Saccharomyces cerevisiae S288C: one gene and its partners. The protein of the gene in region 3 binds, or shares a complex with, the protein of the main gene of each other region. Each region holds a gene or a part of one and is shown on either strand. Other genes may lie near its edges.

The links.
Region 1: CDC48 (region 3) and UFD1 share a complex: the UniProt entries of both Saccharomyces cerevisiae proteins name them as parts of the heterotrimeric CDC48-NPL4-UFD1 ATPase complex.
Region 2: CDC48 (region 3) and RQC1 share a complex: the UniProt entries of both Saccharomyces cerevisiae proteins name them as parts of the ribosome quality control complex.

What each region holds. Positions count from the first base shown.
Region 1 is NC_001139.9:588,254-593,172, reverse strand, and holds UFD1 (polyubiquitin-binding protein UFD1), read right to left. Parts: upstream 3,348-4,919; coding exon 2,262-3,347; downstream 1-2,261. Other genes in the region: YGR050C (uncharacterized protein), read left to right, coding at 731-1,087; SCM4 (Scm4p), read right to left, coding at 1,296-1,859; transcription factor TFIIIC subunit TFC4, read left to right, coding at 3,704-4,919. UniProt on the Saccharomyces cerevisiae protein: Functions at a post-ubiquitation step in the ubiquitin fusion degradation (UFD) pathway. Has a role in the endoplasmic reticulum-associated degradation (ERAD) pathway.
Region 2 is NC_001136.10:1,131,252-1,137,051, forward strand, and holds RQC1 (Rqc1p), read right to left. Parts: upstream 4,181-5,800; coding exon 2,009-4,180; downstream 1-2,008. Other genes in the region: IRC3 (double-stranded DNA-dependent ATPase), read left to right, coding at 1-1,819; chromatin-remodeling protein SWR1, read left to right, coding at 4,681-5,800. UniProt on the Saccharomyces cerevisiae protein: Component of the ribosome quality control complex (RQC), a ribosome-associated complex that mediates ubiquitination and extraction of incompletely synthesized nascent chains for proteasomal degradation.
Region 3 is NC_001136.10:234,792-241,201, forward strand, and holds CDC48 (AAA family ATPase CDC48), read right to left. Parts: upstream 3,874-6,410; coding exon 1,366-3,873; downstream 1-1,365. Other genes in the region: cyclin PCL2, read left to right, coding at 136-1,062; HNT1 (adenosine 5'-monophosphoramidase), read right to left, coding at 4,228-4,607, 4,719-4,815; YDL124W (aldo-keto reductase superfamily protein), read left to right, coding at 5,468-6,406. UniProt on the Saccharomyces cerevisiae protein: ATP-dependent chaperone which probably uses the energy provided by ATP hydrolysis to generate mechanical force to unfold substrate proteins, disassemble protein complexes, and disaggregate protein aggregates.

The DNA of each region.
Region 1 (4,919 bases), on a different chromosome or scaffold from region 3:
AACTTCCTTTTACCTGTTGCAAGCTGTCTCATACCCGCGCTGAAAAGGCTGAGAACTGGGTATTGTCCCAATATTACGCTCGGCTTTTCTTTTCAAAAACTTTGTATTCCAGATACTTCCATGTGCAATTTCCCTAGTGCTCCCTGTACCAAGCCATCGGAGAGGAGATGCCTTCTAGAATTCAAAGCACGTAAGGGGTACAAAAATCGGAACGGGCCGAAGGCCGAAAAGAGACGGCCGTACGTGAGAGCACATGCAAAGTGGTGAACGGGACGTTACGGAGAATTACGGAACCTCTCAACAGAAGATGCGCCAATAGTCCTTCCGAACTAGCTCCACGGGAGGGGTATGAAGAGCAAGCTTGTTTACGCAGCCTCACCACCGCACCGAAAGACCCTCACGACAGAAATGGAGCGCCTTTAATGACGTTCGTCCGCTGCGGGCCAGAACAGCACAGTTTTGCTTCCCCGTTTCTTTTCCACTATTTCGTCACCCGCTCGAGGTGGCTCGCCCGCTCGGAGGCAAGCTGCACATTCATCGAACACGGAGAGGCACGGGCGAGAGAAAAAAAAGCCTATTGACCTAAACGGATGTCATAATGAAAAGAAGGAATCCGGTTTTCCTGGGCATGACTAAGGTAGCACGACTCAACTGGGCCAGATCGGTTGCTTCTTCCGATATACATGCATTAGATTAAGCCAAAGTAAAATCAAAAGAAAATTTAGCGGATATGAAAACCAATCTAATCTCCTCGTTTGCTTTCCGACCGCATGTAAGGTTCGGCTTTCTTGACTTCGGATATAGCTTAAAGTCGATTCTTGACGTCACTTCGCAATATCATTTCATTCCCATTAAACTGGCGTATGGACTTTGCGATCCTTTATTAATAGTTTATCCGGATCCCAGTTTTAGTTTGGCTCAAGCTGCAGGTGAAAAGAAAAAAGTCGTATTCCCTACGTATGAAGATGTTCCGAAACTACTGTTGACGTTTAAGCAGATTATGAATACGTATAGGAAGGGAAGTTTGGGACAGAGACAGAGACAGAGAGTGTACGGGCGAAATGGGAATGAATCACATTCTACGTAATTTGTCTTTGACTTTCTTAGAGATACGTATATAACTTTTTTTTCTGTGTGAAAAATAAATATTCTCTTATCCAATGTGGACAAGAGCCAAAAATACTCTGCTTTGTATATTTACTAGTTTTTTTGGCCTTTTTTTTCGCTAAACATATATATTAGTCTCGCTTAAATAATTGTGATGTTTGAAGGGAACGTGTCACGTGCTTCGTCGTTCATGCTTTGAATCCATCTAGGATACACTTACCAAAGGTAAAAATTGTTATACCGGTTACAATGCTCATGTGCAATGACATGTATGAGTGACATTTTACGCTTCTTTCGGATTCAGGTTTTAATGTTTTGGCGTTGTTCATCTTTGAGAATGGGCATGCAGCTTCCCCATCTTTGACTTCCGGGTGATGTTGGGGTAATTTTTCATCCTTTTGCTTTTCTAAATCATTTTGGTCACGTGTGCATTTTGGGGCTAGCTTGTGATTGAACAGTGATACTAAGTATAGGTAGGCTGCAGATAATGGGGCGACACCAAGTCCGCACAAAAGGTAGTTTGGTCTTTCTCCTGGTGCAGCTAGATAGTAGCTGAGTCCAAAGGCACCAGTAGCTAAACCACCTAAAACGGTGCTCCAGCATCCTAATGTGCACAAAACATTCTTCAAATGTTGAGTTAGAACATTTATTGGGGTGGTAATAGAAATCACGGTAGATGAAGTTAAAATACCGGCGTATAAACCTAATGATGAGACTGCGATACCTTTTACAATAGCTGGGGAGACTTGCATTTGTTTTTTAGTATATGTAAGGATTCTTATGAGTGTTTGTCTTAAACTTGCTTTTCGTGAGGTAAGGGTTAAAAAATCAGCTTGGATATAATTTGGAACAATAGAAACTTCTTTTCTCTCATTTATATACTGATCAACTCACAATTATATAACCTGGTTCTTTTTTTTTTTATTTTTCAACAACACAATAGATTCGAGTATGGGTAAACGAAGAGAATTACTTCGGCATTAAGCAAGGGAAATATCGCGCAACCGCGCACGTAATTATTTTTACTAAACGAACAGCAAATGCAGCAGAGCTAATGCGATGCATAAGATACTTGGATTCTAAGATCTGTTAACTTGAAAATGCTCTATATATCTGTCAAAGACACTATATTGTTGTATACTAGTATATATCTTTTAGTCAATTTCGATTACTTCCGGGCTTTTGGGAGCCTTGGACTTGGACGAATCATGGTCACTTTTCGTTTTTCTCTTATTGCTCTTCCTTAGTGAGATCCCTTGGCCTTGGAAATTTTGTTCACTGGATTTGCTACCAGCGGCACTTTCTTCGTCTTCTTTCGGTAGGACCATTGGGAAACCAAAGAATAATTGGCCTTCAGGCAGATCTAGCTTGGCGGGCTCGCCATCAAACGTTATCTTCATATCTTTTATATCTTGCTTGGGCTCCGCTTTCGGAGCTTTACCAGATATGTTTTGTCCCTGACCTACAAATTTAGATAGTTTGTTTCTGCTACTGTTAGCGATACCCGCATAGTCGATTCTTGTGGACATCGATCCCTGGCCAAGCACCGAGGGATCCAAAACTTGGCCCTTACCAAAAGAATTCTTTTTTTCTTTATCTTGCTGAGCTTTCAGCGCTTTGTAATCCGGTTCCACATATCCTACAGGTGGAGCAAAATCTGTTACTAAATCTGTTTCAATGACACATATACTCTTCGATGATGATTCTGGTTTGACTTCTAAGATCTTAATTTTGAAAGTTTTACCATTGTAACTAATCTCAATAACATCGTCCACGGTCAAAGTCGAGAAATTCCTCAGTACGTTTTCCAAAACTGCTTTGGGGTCGGAAATATCCAAGAAATCTACAGACTGAGGTTCTAACTTCACAAACTGGCCCAGAGGTACATCAGTAGATGAAATTTGCAGTAGAGATCCTGGCTGTATACCCAAAGTTTCCATCATCCATTGTGGTAAGTAAACTCTGCCCTCTTCAGCAATAAATTCTAAAACACCTCCATGTGTCACACGTCCAGTTTCATTGGCAGTTAGTTTAAAAAGCATGGGGTATCTTATGTTCAACATGGATAGTTTGCTTAGAGCACTTGGTGGCAGGAATATTTTCCCGCCGAAGTTTGCGTCATCCTTCCGTATTCTATCATTCATCATAGCTATAGGGTAGCATCTAAAGAACTCCTCAAACGTTTGAGGCATATTTACAAAACCATTTCCGCCGCCAAAAGAACTAAAGCCAGAAAACATTTTTATTATATTTTACAGTATCACTTTGATATTTTTTCCTCCCTTGCTATGGTATGTGTTACTATCTATTGAAAACTACATCATTATCTCTTCCCTATTCACATAGACCAGCCAGGATTACTTTTAACTACCTTTATTTTTCGCCACCTAACCCAAAAAAGGAATTCTTCTCTTTCGTAGAACGCAAGTTTGACTTTTTCGTCGTAAAGGCGAGTTTCCCAAAGTGGACACTTTTTTTTTTTAAGGCGCTTCGGCTAGAAATAGAAGAACGATAATAATGGCAGCGCACTGTGTATAATAACACCAGTCAACAATGAATCTGAAGCTAGAGAAAGAAACCCTCAAGTGTATCTGTGATGGCAGCAGGAAAATTGAAAAAGGAACAGCAAAATCAATCAGCTGAACGAGAAAGCGCTGATACGGGTAAAGTTAACGATGAGGATGAAGAGCATCTATACGGAAATATTGATGACTATAAGCATTTGATTCAAGATGAGGAATATGATGACGAGGATGTACCTCATGATCTACAATTAAGCGAAGATGAATATAATTCCGAACGAGACAGTTCTTTGTTGGCAGAATTCTCGGACTACGGTGAAATATCTGAAGACGATGAGGAAGATTTCATGAACGCGATTAGGGAAGCAAGTAACTTTAAGGTAAAAAAGAAGAAGAAAAATGACAAAGGTAAATCTTACGGCCGCCAAAGAAAAGAAAGAGTGCTTGATCCAGAGGTAGCGCAATTACTTTCTCAAGCCAATGAAGCTTTTGTCAGGAATGATTTACAAGTGGCCGAAAGATTATTTAATGAGGTAATTAAAAAAGATGCACGTAATTTTGCTGCTTACGAGACCCTAGGAGATATATATCAATTGCAAGGAAGGCTTAATGATTGTTGTAACTCTTGGTTCCTGGCAGCTCACCTAAATGCTTCCGATTGGGAATTCTGGAAGATAGTCGCTATACTGTCCGCCGATTTAGATCATGTTAGGCAGGCCATCTACTGCTTTTCCAGGGTAATAAGTTTGAATCCTATGGAATGGGAATCAATTTATCGCCGGTCTATGTTGTACAAGAAGACAGGACAGTTAGCAAGAGCTTTAGATGGATTTCAAAGGCTTTACATGTACAATCCTTATGATGCAAACATATTGAGGGAGTTGGCCATTCTTTATGTTGATTATGATCGGATTGAAGATTCAATTGAGCTCTATATGAAAGTGTTTAATGCTAATGTTGAGAGAAGGGAAGCGATATTAGCTGCTTTAGAAAATGCCTTAGATTCTTCAGACGAAGAAAGCGCCGCAGAAGGGGAGGATGCAGACGAAAAGGAACCCCTTGAACAAGATGAAGATAGGCAGATGTTTCCTGACATCAACTGGAAAAAAATTGATGCAAAATATAAATGCATACCATTTGACTGGTCTTCTTTGAACATTCTCGCGGAACTTTTCTTAAAACTCGCAGTTAGTGAGGTCGATGGTATAAAGACAATTAAAAAATGTGCACGGTGGATTCAACGCCGCGAAAGCCAGACATTTTGGGATCATGTTCCAGATGATTCAGAAT
Region 2 (5,800 bases), 900 kb from region 3:
TCAAGGAAATTTTAAATCGTTGATCCTGGTTCACAGGAGGGAGCTGGCCTTACAAGCGACGGCCACTCTTAAAAAAATATTCCCCGACTTAAAGGTTCACATAGAAATGGGAAAATATGATTGCGATATTGAAGATTCTGACGTGATTGTTGCATCTGTTCAGACGTTGATTAGAAGACTCCATAAATATGATACTAATTCAGTGAATCTCATCATCATTGATGAAGCACATCATTCTGTGGCTAATTCTTATAGAAGTATCTTAGATCATTTCAAAGCTTCAACTGCAGAAACCAAAATCCCTGTTATTGGCTTTAGTGCGACTTTCGAAAGAGCAGATAAAAGAGCTTTGTCAATGGTAATGGATAAAATTGTGTACCACCGGGGAATACTGGAAATGATCGATGACAAGTGGCTATGTGAGGCAAAATTCACGTCAGTCAAAATTGAAGCAGACTTATCAGATGTAAAAAGCACTGCAGATGACTTCCAGCTGGCACCGTTATCGTCTCTAATGAATACGAAAGAAATTAATGAAGTAATTCTGAAAACTTACCTTCATAAAAAGCAAGAGAAATCACTAAAATCAACATTACTGTTTGGCGTTGATAAAGCCCATGTACAAAGTTTGCATAAATTATTTAAAGACAACGGTATTAATACGGACTATGTCACCTCGGATACAAAACAGATAGAACGAGATAATATAATTCAAAAATTCAAAAATGGGGAAACTGAAGTACTCATGAACTGTGGAATATTCACAGAAGGAACGGACATGCCAAATATTGATTGTATACTACTGTGTAGGCCCACAAAATCGCGTTCACTTTTGATTCAAATGATTGGAAGAGGTTTACGGTTACACCATTCGAAAGACCACTGTCATATCATCGACTTCATTGGAGCTTCTAGTGTTGGAGTGGTTTCAGCGCCCACTCTACTGGGTATAAGGAGTGATGATATCGAATTTGATGATGCTACAGTTGAAGATTTAAAAGCAATCCAAGGAGAGATAATAGCTAAACAACAAAAAATCGACGAAAGGTTAAGGGCTTTATTTCAGACTGATGAAGCAGCAATGGAAAATGTAACTGAAAGAAATAGCGTTGCCGATTGGATTCACAGTGCAAATTCGGTTGATTTAACCTTGTGCTCCTTTGATAGTTTTAGGAATTTTACACAGAGCAATAACTCATATCCATCTGGCAAGGAGTTTGATGAAGCTTCTGAAGCTGTAAAAGAAATGGAGCTGTTGATGAACTCACAATATCCGTGGGTGAAATTTGCCTCAAATGCGTGGGGCCTCCCTTTAAAAGGTAAGAATCATTTGAGAATATACAAAGAAAAATCCGAAGACAAATTGTCGATGGTATATCATCTAAAAATGTATCGACAATTACCGTGTTTTATAACAAATAAATACGCGGACTATGTTCCAAAAAGTATAATAAAAGACGCTAATCTTTGGAATGTAATGTCAAAGGTGGAAAAAATCATAAATACTCTAAATTCGGACTTGGAAGGACAAACAATGCAATACCAGGCAATATCTAGTAAATACTCGAAATGGAGACAAACAGTTCCTACGTCAAAACAAAGAGACTTTGTTTTCAGAAAGCTAAAGAAAGTATATGGTGAGTCCTCAAAAGATTTTATTAGATTATCTTTGGATGATGTTACTACTTATGTAAATACTAAGATGACGAAAGGAGATGCTTCCAACTTAATCTTTGCCAGCAGTTTGGCACCTGTCTACCCGTTGAAATCATTGTTACGAATATTAGAATATCAAAAAAGAAGATCTTTTATAAAGTGAAATCCGTAGCTACATAAATGTGCATATATTAATATACAGTCACTAGTACATATGTAAACGTCGGACCACTCGTATATGCATTTTCTTTTGGATCACACCCTTTCTGAACTATGCAATGAATAACGTTAAATTCAAATAAGTGCTTTAGCCTTACTCTGCGTACTAGAAAATGAGCTGCAACATTTCTTATTAACCCTCATTTTCATTTGACTCTTCATTTTCATGAATGTACTGTTGCAAAGATATTTGTCTAATTTGATTCAACAGGTCCTCATCTTGCATTCTTTCTGCCTGAAGGACAGCTAAATCCTTTTCATTAATAAAGGTTTTGATGTTTTCAACCACTTCGATTGATTCTTTTGACGTAGGCATTGGTGGTAATACGTCAAACTCATATACTTCATTATCAGACCAGATAAATGATGGAATTGCAGCCATTACAGAAGACTCCTCAGATAGTATGGCGAATCTTAATAAGTTAATTGGGATTCCCGCAATAAAGAAAGGTGATTGCAAGTTGTTAATGTTATTGTGATCTTGCCCATCATTTGAATCGATTGTAACGTTTCCTCTATGGTAATCCTGTAAAATACTCGACATTTCATCATGCAAAAATGTTACCTCTTCGTTTCTATTCCAAAGTAACGGGAAGCGGGCCATATATGCCTTTAATTCCAAGTTTTCTGCCGAATGGCCATCAATGGATAAATCTTTAGTTAGCGCATGATCGCCCAAGAGTTTCTCCTTGAAAAGTTCTGACAGTTGTAAAGGATGATGCTTAAAGGCTTTTAGAAGCGCATTGCGGGCGGAACTCATCTCATTTATTCTTAGGAAGCTTAGTACTACCGCCAAGGAAAATCCTAAAGTATTCCACTGTTTATAACAGTTCATTAATGGAGAGTTGGATAATTCTATAATGTACTGATAGTCATTATTCAATAGAAAATAGTGATCGAGGAAATACCTGCATCCTAAAGGATCTTCCAATGGGCTCAGTGACCAGAGAACTTTTGTCCATTCACTAGCAGTTCCTATAACACCTCTTTGAGCAAGAGATTGGATGTATCTAAATATTGCCAAGTAAAACTGTCTGTTGAAGAAGTATATATAAGGTAGTTGACAATTCAAGGAATCGAAAATAATATTTGCTTTCAAAGCTCTATCAAAGACAAAGAGTGCTCTTTGTAACAATCCATTAGTGTTTGATCTATCACCTTGCCTAATAAATATCAAAGCAACTTGTAGCAGTCCAGGCACATGATACGGAAATTTAGAAGAAATCAAATTTATAAGGGCTTCATGATCAGGGTGAACAATAACACTTAAGTAGAAGTCCATCATTGATTTCTTGCTCAGGTCGGAATTTAAAGGTTCGAACTTATAAAAAGAAATGAATTTTTGCCACTGACTGACATCGTTTTGGATAACATCCTTCCAATCTAACGGCCTTTCCCATAATTGCCAATCTAAAAGATCATCAGAACTTAAAAGTTTCATAGAGAGCTCACCTCTTTGAGTTGGGATCCAATCATCTCTGATCTTGGTAAACTTCAAATGTTGCGGGTGCATTCCGGGGCCATTAGGTGCCAATCTATGATCTTTTCCGCCCCAGTTTCTAATTAATCTTTTCAGTCTCTGAATCTGTTTCAGCTGCTGAGGGGAGACAGGTGTGGATGTCATCGAATCAATATCTTCAAGAGACTCTGGAGATATATCGTCAAATAAAAGTTTGAATTCCGTATGGGGGTCCAATTTCTTGAAATCATTTTGAAAAAATTTGCAAGAATGCCTCAAACATGAAATGGGGAACTTTGTGAAGCCCGGATCACTTTCTAAGCTTAAAAATGACTTCCAAGGTTGGCTAGATGCTTCCTCTGGTTCAGATGCCGTGAAGAAACCTTCCTCATTAGTGTCATCATTTTTAGTCTTACCGTACTTCAATATATCAGTTTTTTTGAACTGTTGGATAATCTTGTCGAATTCTTCATCATCATCATCATCATCGGAACCCTTGTCTTTTGCAGCCTCGGCGGTATGGTTTTTTTGCTTCCTTTTTGCCTTTTTATTCTTTTTCCTTCTAGAAGACTTGGATGCTAGTGTAATTCTTTTAGGTTGACCATTACTTTGAGTATCACGCTCCCCAGCAGCAGCAGCTTCTTCATCCTGCTCAGACATTTGTCCTTCATCAGTGCTATTATCTGAATCACGTACGTTATTCATCATAGAGAAGATGTTCTCCCGTTTCTGAATATTACCGGCAGTACTTTTACCACTCGTCATTTTATTCGCATTTGAATTCGATAGCAGCGACTCTAGCAGAGCATTATCATCTTGTAATCTCCTTAATGCTCTAGAGCTCATGTTCGAGTACTTTACAAATATATTTAGATGATTCAACGACCTGTATGTTAACCTTCAACTGGTGGACTGTATGTACTACCTATGGACATTTTTCACTATACGTTGATGCAGTAGTGAACATATTGCTCGCATAATGTTACCCGTTTATACCTCTATACGATTATTAAGGGAGGGTAATACTTTCTCAATTTTTTTTTTTTCAGTTTTTAATATTATTTCCTTAAGATTTTTCGGTGGCGTTTCGCGACAACTTACGAGAAAAAAAAAAAAGAGGAGACTTGAAGAAAGAGTGCAAAGGGATAGCGGGATTCTAAAGTGTTTACGTGCAAAAAGGATAGATTTTGAGCTTTAAACTAGATAAGACCCAAAGCATTCGATTACTGCATTTGAGAGGTATTCAACAATACCATTTTAACTCTTAGAAAATATTTCCTTAAGCTGAAAATTTATGAATTCTAACTGCTCTTTGCATTTTCCAAGTTATTGCATTACAAGAATATATGACCACATCTCGTAAATCGCATGCGAAAGACAAAAAGGCTGGTGGTGAACAGGATCTGGCGGATTTGAAGTTTAGGTATGATCTTCTGACGAATGAACTGTTCCATTTAAGAGAGTTTGTTTCATTGGTAGATTATGATCCAACCCATTTTAATGATTCTGAAAGTTTTCAGAAGTTTCTCAGGGAAACACACTTGTCGTTAGAGGAGAGAGGAGAAAAATTCACTGATGACGTAGCCAAGAAAGGCACGAATGGTGATCTTACTCGCAGAAGGCGAAACCTCAGGACATCGACAGTTGTTAGTTCAGAAACGACTAATGAGAAAAAGGGTGATATAGAACTGAAGTTAGAAAGCATAGCACCATTAGTACGAAATAAATGTGAGGAGCTAAAATACAAACTAAGTGATCATTCAAATAGGAAATCTATAGTACCGCAAAAAAGACCAATACAACATTTGAAGAAGAGAGAAGCAGCGAAGTCCTTGAAGTTCAAAAGTGAAAGAAAGGAAAATCCACTGCCATTGCATGAACATATAGCTGAAGAGAGATATGATCACATCGCAAAAGTTGAAGAACCCTCTGAAGCCTTCACTATAAAGTGTCCTTCTGATGATAGCTCCTTTGAAAATACTAGTGAACATTATAGTGATAATTTTTATTTCACCACATCATCCGAAGAGGAAGATATAAAGAAAAAAAGAGGTAGAAAGAAAAAGAAGCCTAGAATAAAACTGGTAGTCCATCCTCCAAAGCAAACCATAACGAACCCGTTGCATGTAGTCAAGCCGGGATACGAAAGCTTGCACGAATACATCGCTTCCTTTAAGTCATTAGAAGACGATTTAACGCTGGAAGAATATAATAAATACATCGACGAACAAAGACGGCTTTTATCGAGACTCAAAAAAGGTATTGAAAATGGCGCATTGAAGTATGACAAAGAAACGGACTCACTACAACCTATAACATCCAAGGAAATCAAGACTATCATAACATATAAACCAGACCCGATTTCATATTTCTATAAACAACAAGATCTGCAAATCCATACCGATCACTTAATTAACCAAGGTATTCATATGAGTAAGCTGTTTAGAAGTTCAACAAAGGCAAGAA
Region 3 (6,410 bases):
TGTTTTTTTCTTTAGTCTTATAAGTTCTCCTTTCTTTCACTTTATAATTCTCCTTTATAAAAGTAAGACCCGGTGCTAAACAACCTGATCCGACAAGAGCAATTTCAATACGGCAGCAACTTTTTACTACAAAAGATGTCAAACTACGAAGCCTTGCTGAAATTCAATAGGAAGGCTGTATCTAAGGAAATGGTGCAATATCTAGCATCGACCACAGCTTCCATTATCAAAATTAAGAAGACGAATAGTATGATAGATATTGCATTGCCAGCACCACCGTTGACTAAATTCATCAACAGACTGATCAAGCATTCTAACGTTCAAACTCCGACTCTGATGGCTACCTCTGTATATTTGGCCAAATTAAGATCAATAATACCGAGTAACGTTTATGGTATAGAGACCACCAGGCATAGAATATTCTTAGGTTGCCTAATATTAGCTGCAAAAACGTTAAATGATTCCTCCCCTCTTAACAAACACTGGGCCGAATATACGGACGGCCTTCTCATCCTAAGGGAGGTTAATACTATTGAAAGGGAACTATTAGAATATTTTGATTGGGACGTCACCATTTCCACAGATGATTTAATTACATGTCTCTCGCCATTCTTGAAGCCTATCAAAGAGGAGCAGTTGTACAAATCGCAAAGAGACTGTCGCACGTTGAAAAATTTTTCTGCTCAAGAAAAAGACATAGTAAACAAAACATCCATTTCCCATTCGCGCTCATCGTCCAATATGTCTATCCCATCTTTAGCTTCCACTTCGACCCTCTCCACGTTGGAATCTAGAAGATCGAATTTATCCAATTATAGTAACAGAATACGAACTTTGCCCGAACTACACGAATCCAATAACATTAGCGACAAGTTTTCTCCGCGAACATACAACATAGACTCCAAACACGATAACAAGGAAAATAGGCCAATACCGACAATTAAGCCTTTTAATTTTAGTAAAGCGCGCCCTGTGATCTTGAAAACTGGGTTAAACAAACAGATAATAAAAGAAGATACAAAAGTAAAGAAATCGAATTGGTCAAATTACTTCAAATCGTGATTTTAAATGTCGAAATTATGCCTGGCCTGCGTTTCTTCATGGCACTTTCGGAAAAGGCGGAAGAACACAGGTAAATGTTCTTACGACCGAGGTCCTACAGCCTCCCTTTTTTCTTATTTTACATATTAATATACATAAATATACCATAATGCATTCTTTTTCTAATGATTTAGCTCTCCTTTTTTTGACAAATTTGAAAATAAATATAAAAAGGGCCATAAAATATTGAGTTAAAATTGACGATTTTTTTTATAGAAATGACTTGAATTTACGATTTAAAATAAAAATATACCTGGCATATAACTAACTATACAAATCATCATCTTCCTCCGCATTAGAACCAAATGCAGCACCTGCTCCACTTGGAGCACTATTATTACTGTTAGCATTGTCCGTAGCCGTAGTACCTAATGGAGCGTCATTAAAGTTGAAATTACTGAATTGACCTCTAGATGCTTTCATTTGCTGTGAGTATGCTTCATAACGACGCAATTCAGCATCTGAAACAGAACGTTTAGCGGTCTTCATAGCTTCTGCGAAATGCTCCTTTGTAATATATGGAACAGGATCTACTTCTGGTTCTTGTTCAGCCTTTGCTCCCTCATCTGTCATTTCCACGTCTTCACCTTCTACTTTCACTTCCTTTTCAGCTTCGTGTTGTCTGTGAGCTTCGATAGAATCCTTGATAGCGTATTTAGCAGCCCTCTGCACAATATAGAGTAAATCAGCACCAGAGAAACCTTGAGTGGCCTTGGCAATCGCAGTTAACTCTAGCCCTGGTTCTAGTGGTGTTTTCCTTAATTGAGCATTTAGAATAGATAATCTAGCGTTTTCATCTGGCAATGGAACATAAATTAATTGATCCAATCTGCCAGGTCTTAAAATAGCAGGATCAATTTGATCTGGCCTATTGGTGGCACCAATCACGAACACATTTTTCTTAGCATTCATACCATCCATTTCTGTTAATAGTTGGTTGACGACTCTATCCGAAGCACCACCAGCATCACCCAAGGAACCACCTCTTGCCTTGGCAATGGAGTCTAATTCATCTAGAAAAACGACGGTTGGTGCAGCTGCTCTTGCCTTATCAAAAATATCACGGATGTTAGATTCCGATTCACCATACCACATACTCAATAATTCTGGACCTTTGACTGAGATAAAGTTGGCAGAAACCTCAGTAGCTACAGCTTTTGCTAACAAAGTTTTACCTGTACCTGGTGGACCGTAGAACAACACACCCTTTGATGGTGATAACCCAAACTTTGTGTATTGGTCTGGATGTAAGACTGGGTATTCTACAGTTTCCTTCAATTCCTCCTTGATTTCATCTAGGCCACCAACGTCATCCCAAGTAACATTGACACTTTCAACAACGGTTTCACGCAATGCAGATGGGTTTGAATTGCCCAATGCGAATCTGAAGTTGTCCATGGTGACTCCTAAAGAATCGAGCACCTCTGCATCAATTTCATCTTCATCTAAATCTATCAAGTCCATTTTTTCACGGATCTGTTGCATGGCAGCTTCAGAACACAAAGAGGCAATATCAGCACCCACGTAACCGTGTGTTTCAGCAGCCAATGCTTCCAAATCAACATCATCAGCCAACTTCATGTTCTTGGTGTGAATACGTAGAACTTCAAGTCTACCTGTAGCATCTGGGATACCAATGTCGACTTCACGATCGAATCTACCAAATCTTCTTAAAGCGGGATCAATCGAATTTGGTCTATTGGTAGCAGCAATGACAACAACATTAGATCTTGCCTTCATACCATCCATTAAAGTTAACAATTGAGAGACAACTCTTCTCTCAACTTCACCATTAGTCTTGTCTCTCTTTGGAGCTATAGAATCGATTTCATCGATAAAAATGATGGCTGGAGCGTTCTTTTCGGCTTCTTCAAAGGCCTTTCTTAAGTTAGACTCTGATTCACCAGCCATTTTTGACATGACTTCTGGACCATTAATTAAGAAAAAAAAGGCACCGGTCTCATTAGCAACAGCTCTTGCCATCAAGGTTTTACCAGTACCAGGGGGACCATACATCAAAACACCTCTTGGTGGCTTGATACCGATAGCCTTGAACAACTGAGGATGTCTCAATGGTAGTTCAACCATTTCCCTAATTTGAGCCATTTGCTTACGACAACCACCAATATCATCGTAACCCACCTCATTCATATTATTTTCTTCATCTTCCCTGTTGATTGGCTCACCTTCCCAGTGAATAATAGTATCCTGAGCAACGACGGCATATTCTTCAGGTTCGACATCCACAACCTTGAATTCGACTTGTCTCATACCGCCTCTGACAACAAAATGGTCGCCTTTCCTCACTGGTCTGTAGGCTTCCACAAAATAAGGCTTCAAAAAAACATCGAAAAGATTACCAGTTATACCTTCGATCGTATCAGCAATTGGTAACACAGAAATTCTAGTAGCGTATTTGATATCGGGGCAAGGATGAATTGTAACTAAATCACCCAGCCTAATACGTAAATTGTTACGAACTACACGGTTTATCCTGCATGCTCCGTCTTCTAATTCGTCATCGATCAACACAATTAAGACAGTATCTTTTCTCTTCTTGCCCTTAACGAGAACGGTGTCACCACGGAACAATTCCAATTTGTCCATGGTGTTAGAATTAATAGCAATGACAGAATTGTCATCATTGATAGCATCGTCCACCAAAAGCATGTTGTCCTTCTTCTTTCTTCTTAAAATGGCGGTGGCGGTTTTATCCTCCTCACGAGGGTCGACACCCGAGGCGTCCAAAAGTGGTTTATGTTCTTCACCCATGATTTGTATATCTGTCTTGTAGTTGAGCCAGTTATCGAGTCAATGGCGTTGAGTCAAATCTTAATAGAACTAGATTAATTGACTACATCAACTGCGGATCTCTTAAATACACGGCCCTGATATATGTCCTTTTTTGCCACCGAATTCACATTCGAGGGGTTGCCGGGTAGTGCGCAAAAGGCGGTAGGTTAAAAAGGAAGGAGTTAGAGCTGTTCATAAGGTATCGATAGCAACGATGGCTAGTAACATGATTGTTAGCATTATAGAGTGGATATGAATGGAAGCAAACACACCCATATGTATAAACTTAAATATGAAAAGAAAACGCTAAAAGAAATCATAGCATGCATTACTCTAATCGGAGCCTTCTAGTTTGGCAAGCAATTCCTTGTGTAGCTTGCCCAACTTATCGAAGTCCGTTTCTTGGGCTGGCCACCCTACAATCAAACCACTTTTCTCATCTCTCTTAGGAATCAAATGGAAGTGGACGTGGTCGACTTCTTGATGCGCAATTTTACCATTATTCTGCAACACATTATAAGTGTCCAACTTCATTGCCTTGGCCAGTCTCTTGGCAATCGGCATAGCATCGGTAAGGAATTCGTCCGGGATGTCATGCAACTTCGCACCATGGTACTTAGGAATGATTAAAGCATGACCTTCAGCAGTAGGTTGGATGTCCAAGAAAGCATACGAGTACTTTGTTTCAATCAATTTGAAGGATGGAATTTCGCCTGTTGCATAGCGGATCGATTGTTAGTATTCTGCTTTATGTATATGTACTACATAGAGACTATCGCCATCATTGGTGTGAGTGTAAGCTCTTTATTAGTAATGTGACATACTTTTAATAATCTTGCAAAAAATACAGGCAGCATCAAGCGTAGCAGGAGCAGACATTTTTGTTGTTGTTAGGTACGGTGCCGATATCAATGGCTCCATCAATGTTTCTTAAAAGTCTGGAAGGCGTGCTGATTGTCCTTTTACTTCATAATGTTCTCCGCTTTCCAGTCGAACACACATCACATTACACGATCGTACAGCAATGCTTCAGTAGGGCGGTAACTTCTTCAGAAGAGAACGGACCCGCCATTATTTCTGCAAGGAATATTCTGTAACGATTCGCACCATATCTTAAAGCTTCTCAAGCTTACTGTTTTATGTGACCTCCTTTTGTACTTTTCAAGTTCTGTAGACAAGTGTCAATTCAACCTTTGAGGCTACGTGGCCAACAAGGTCTTGCGCGATTTACCGGTGTTTCCTTTGCGCCCCCTGCTCATGCCATCAAAACGGCACGCTGTTTTGTAGAAGCCTCCATGCGTCTCCTATTTGGGTCCTTGCAAAATAGTCTAACGAAAGCGCGGAGAATTAACCGGAAAAAGGAAGTTGCCACACTCCCCTTACTAATCCACACCTAGGATCTCCTTTACTCGTATTTTGAATATCTACGAAAACACTCACATACGCTCATCCCATATATATATATATATATATACGGATATATTGATAGTCGGATACTACGTGGATATGGATACACATGTAAACGGTTGTGTTACCCTAAAGAAACGGAGGTCAGTTAACAACACTTTTACAGATGTCATTTCACCAACAGTTCTTTACCTTGAATAATGGAAATAAAATCCCCGCAATCGCCATCATTGGGACAGGTACTAGATGGTATAAAAACGAAGAAACGGATGCTACCTTTTCGAACAGTTTGGTCGAACAGATTGTTTATGCTCTGAAGTTACCTGGCATTATTCACATTGATGCTGCTGAGATCTACAGAACATATCCAGAAGTTGGGAAGGCACTTAGCCTCACCGAAAAACCAAGAAATGCAATATTCTTGACAGACAAGTACTCACCTCAAATCAAGATGTCAGATTCCCCAGCGGATGGACTAGATTTAGCTTTGAAGAAGATGGGCACTGACTATGTCGATCTATACCTTTTGCATAGCCCATTTGTTTCCAAAGAGGTCAACGGGTTAAGTTTGGAGGAAGCCTGGAAGGACATGGAGCAATTGTACAAATCAGGTAAAGCTAAAAATATCGGTGTTTCCAACTTTGCTGTGGAAGACTTGCAAAGAATTCTGAAAGTTGCGGAAGTCAAGCCCCAAGTTAATCAAATTGAGTTCAGTCCCTTCTTGCAGAATCAAACACCAGGGATCTACAAATTTTGCCAAGAACATGATATATTGGTAGAAGCATACTCGCCACTAGGTCCCTTACAAAAGAAAACAGCACAAGATGACTCTCAACCGTTTTTCGAATACGTGAAAGAGTTATCCGAGAAATATATCAAATCTGAAGCCCAAATTATCCTACGTTGGGTGACCAAACGTGGCGTGTTGCCTGTAACCACCTCTTCCAAACCTCAAAGAATTTCTGACGCGCAAAATTTATTCTCTTTCGACTTGACGGCTGAGGAAGTCGATAAGATAACGGAGTTGGGCTTGGAACATGAACCGCTAAGATTGTATTGGAATAAATTGTACGGTAAATACAACTACGCTGCTCAAAAAGTATAAATAC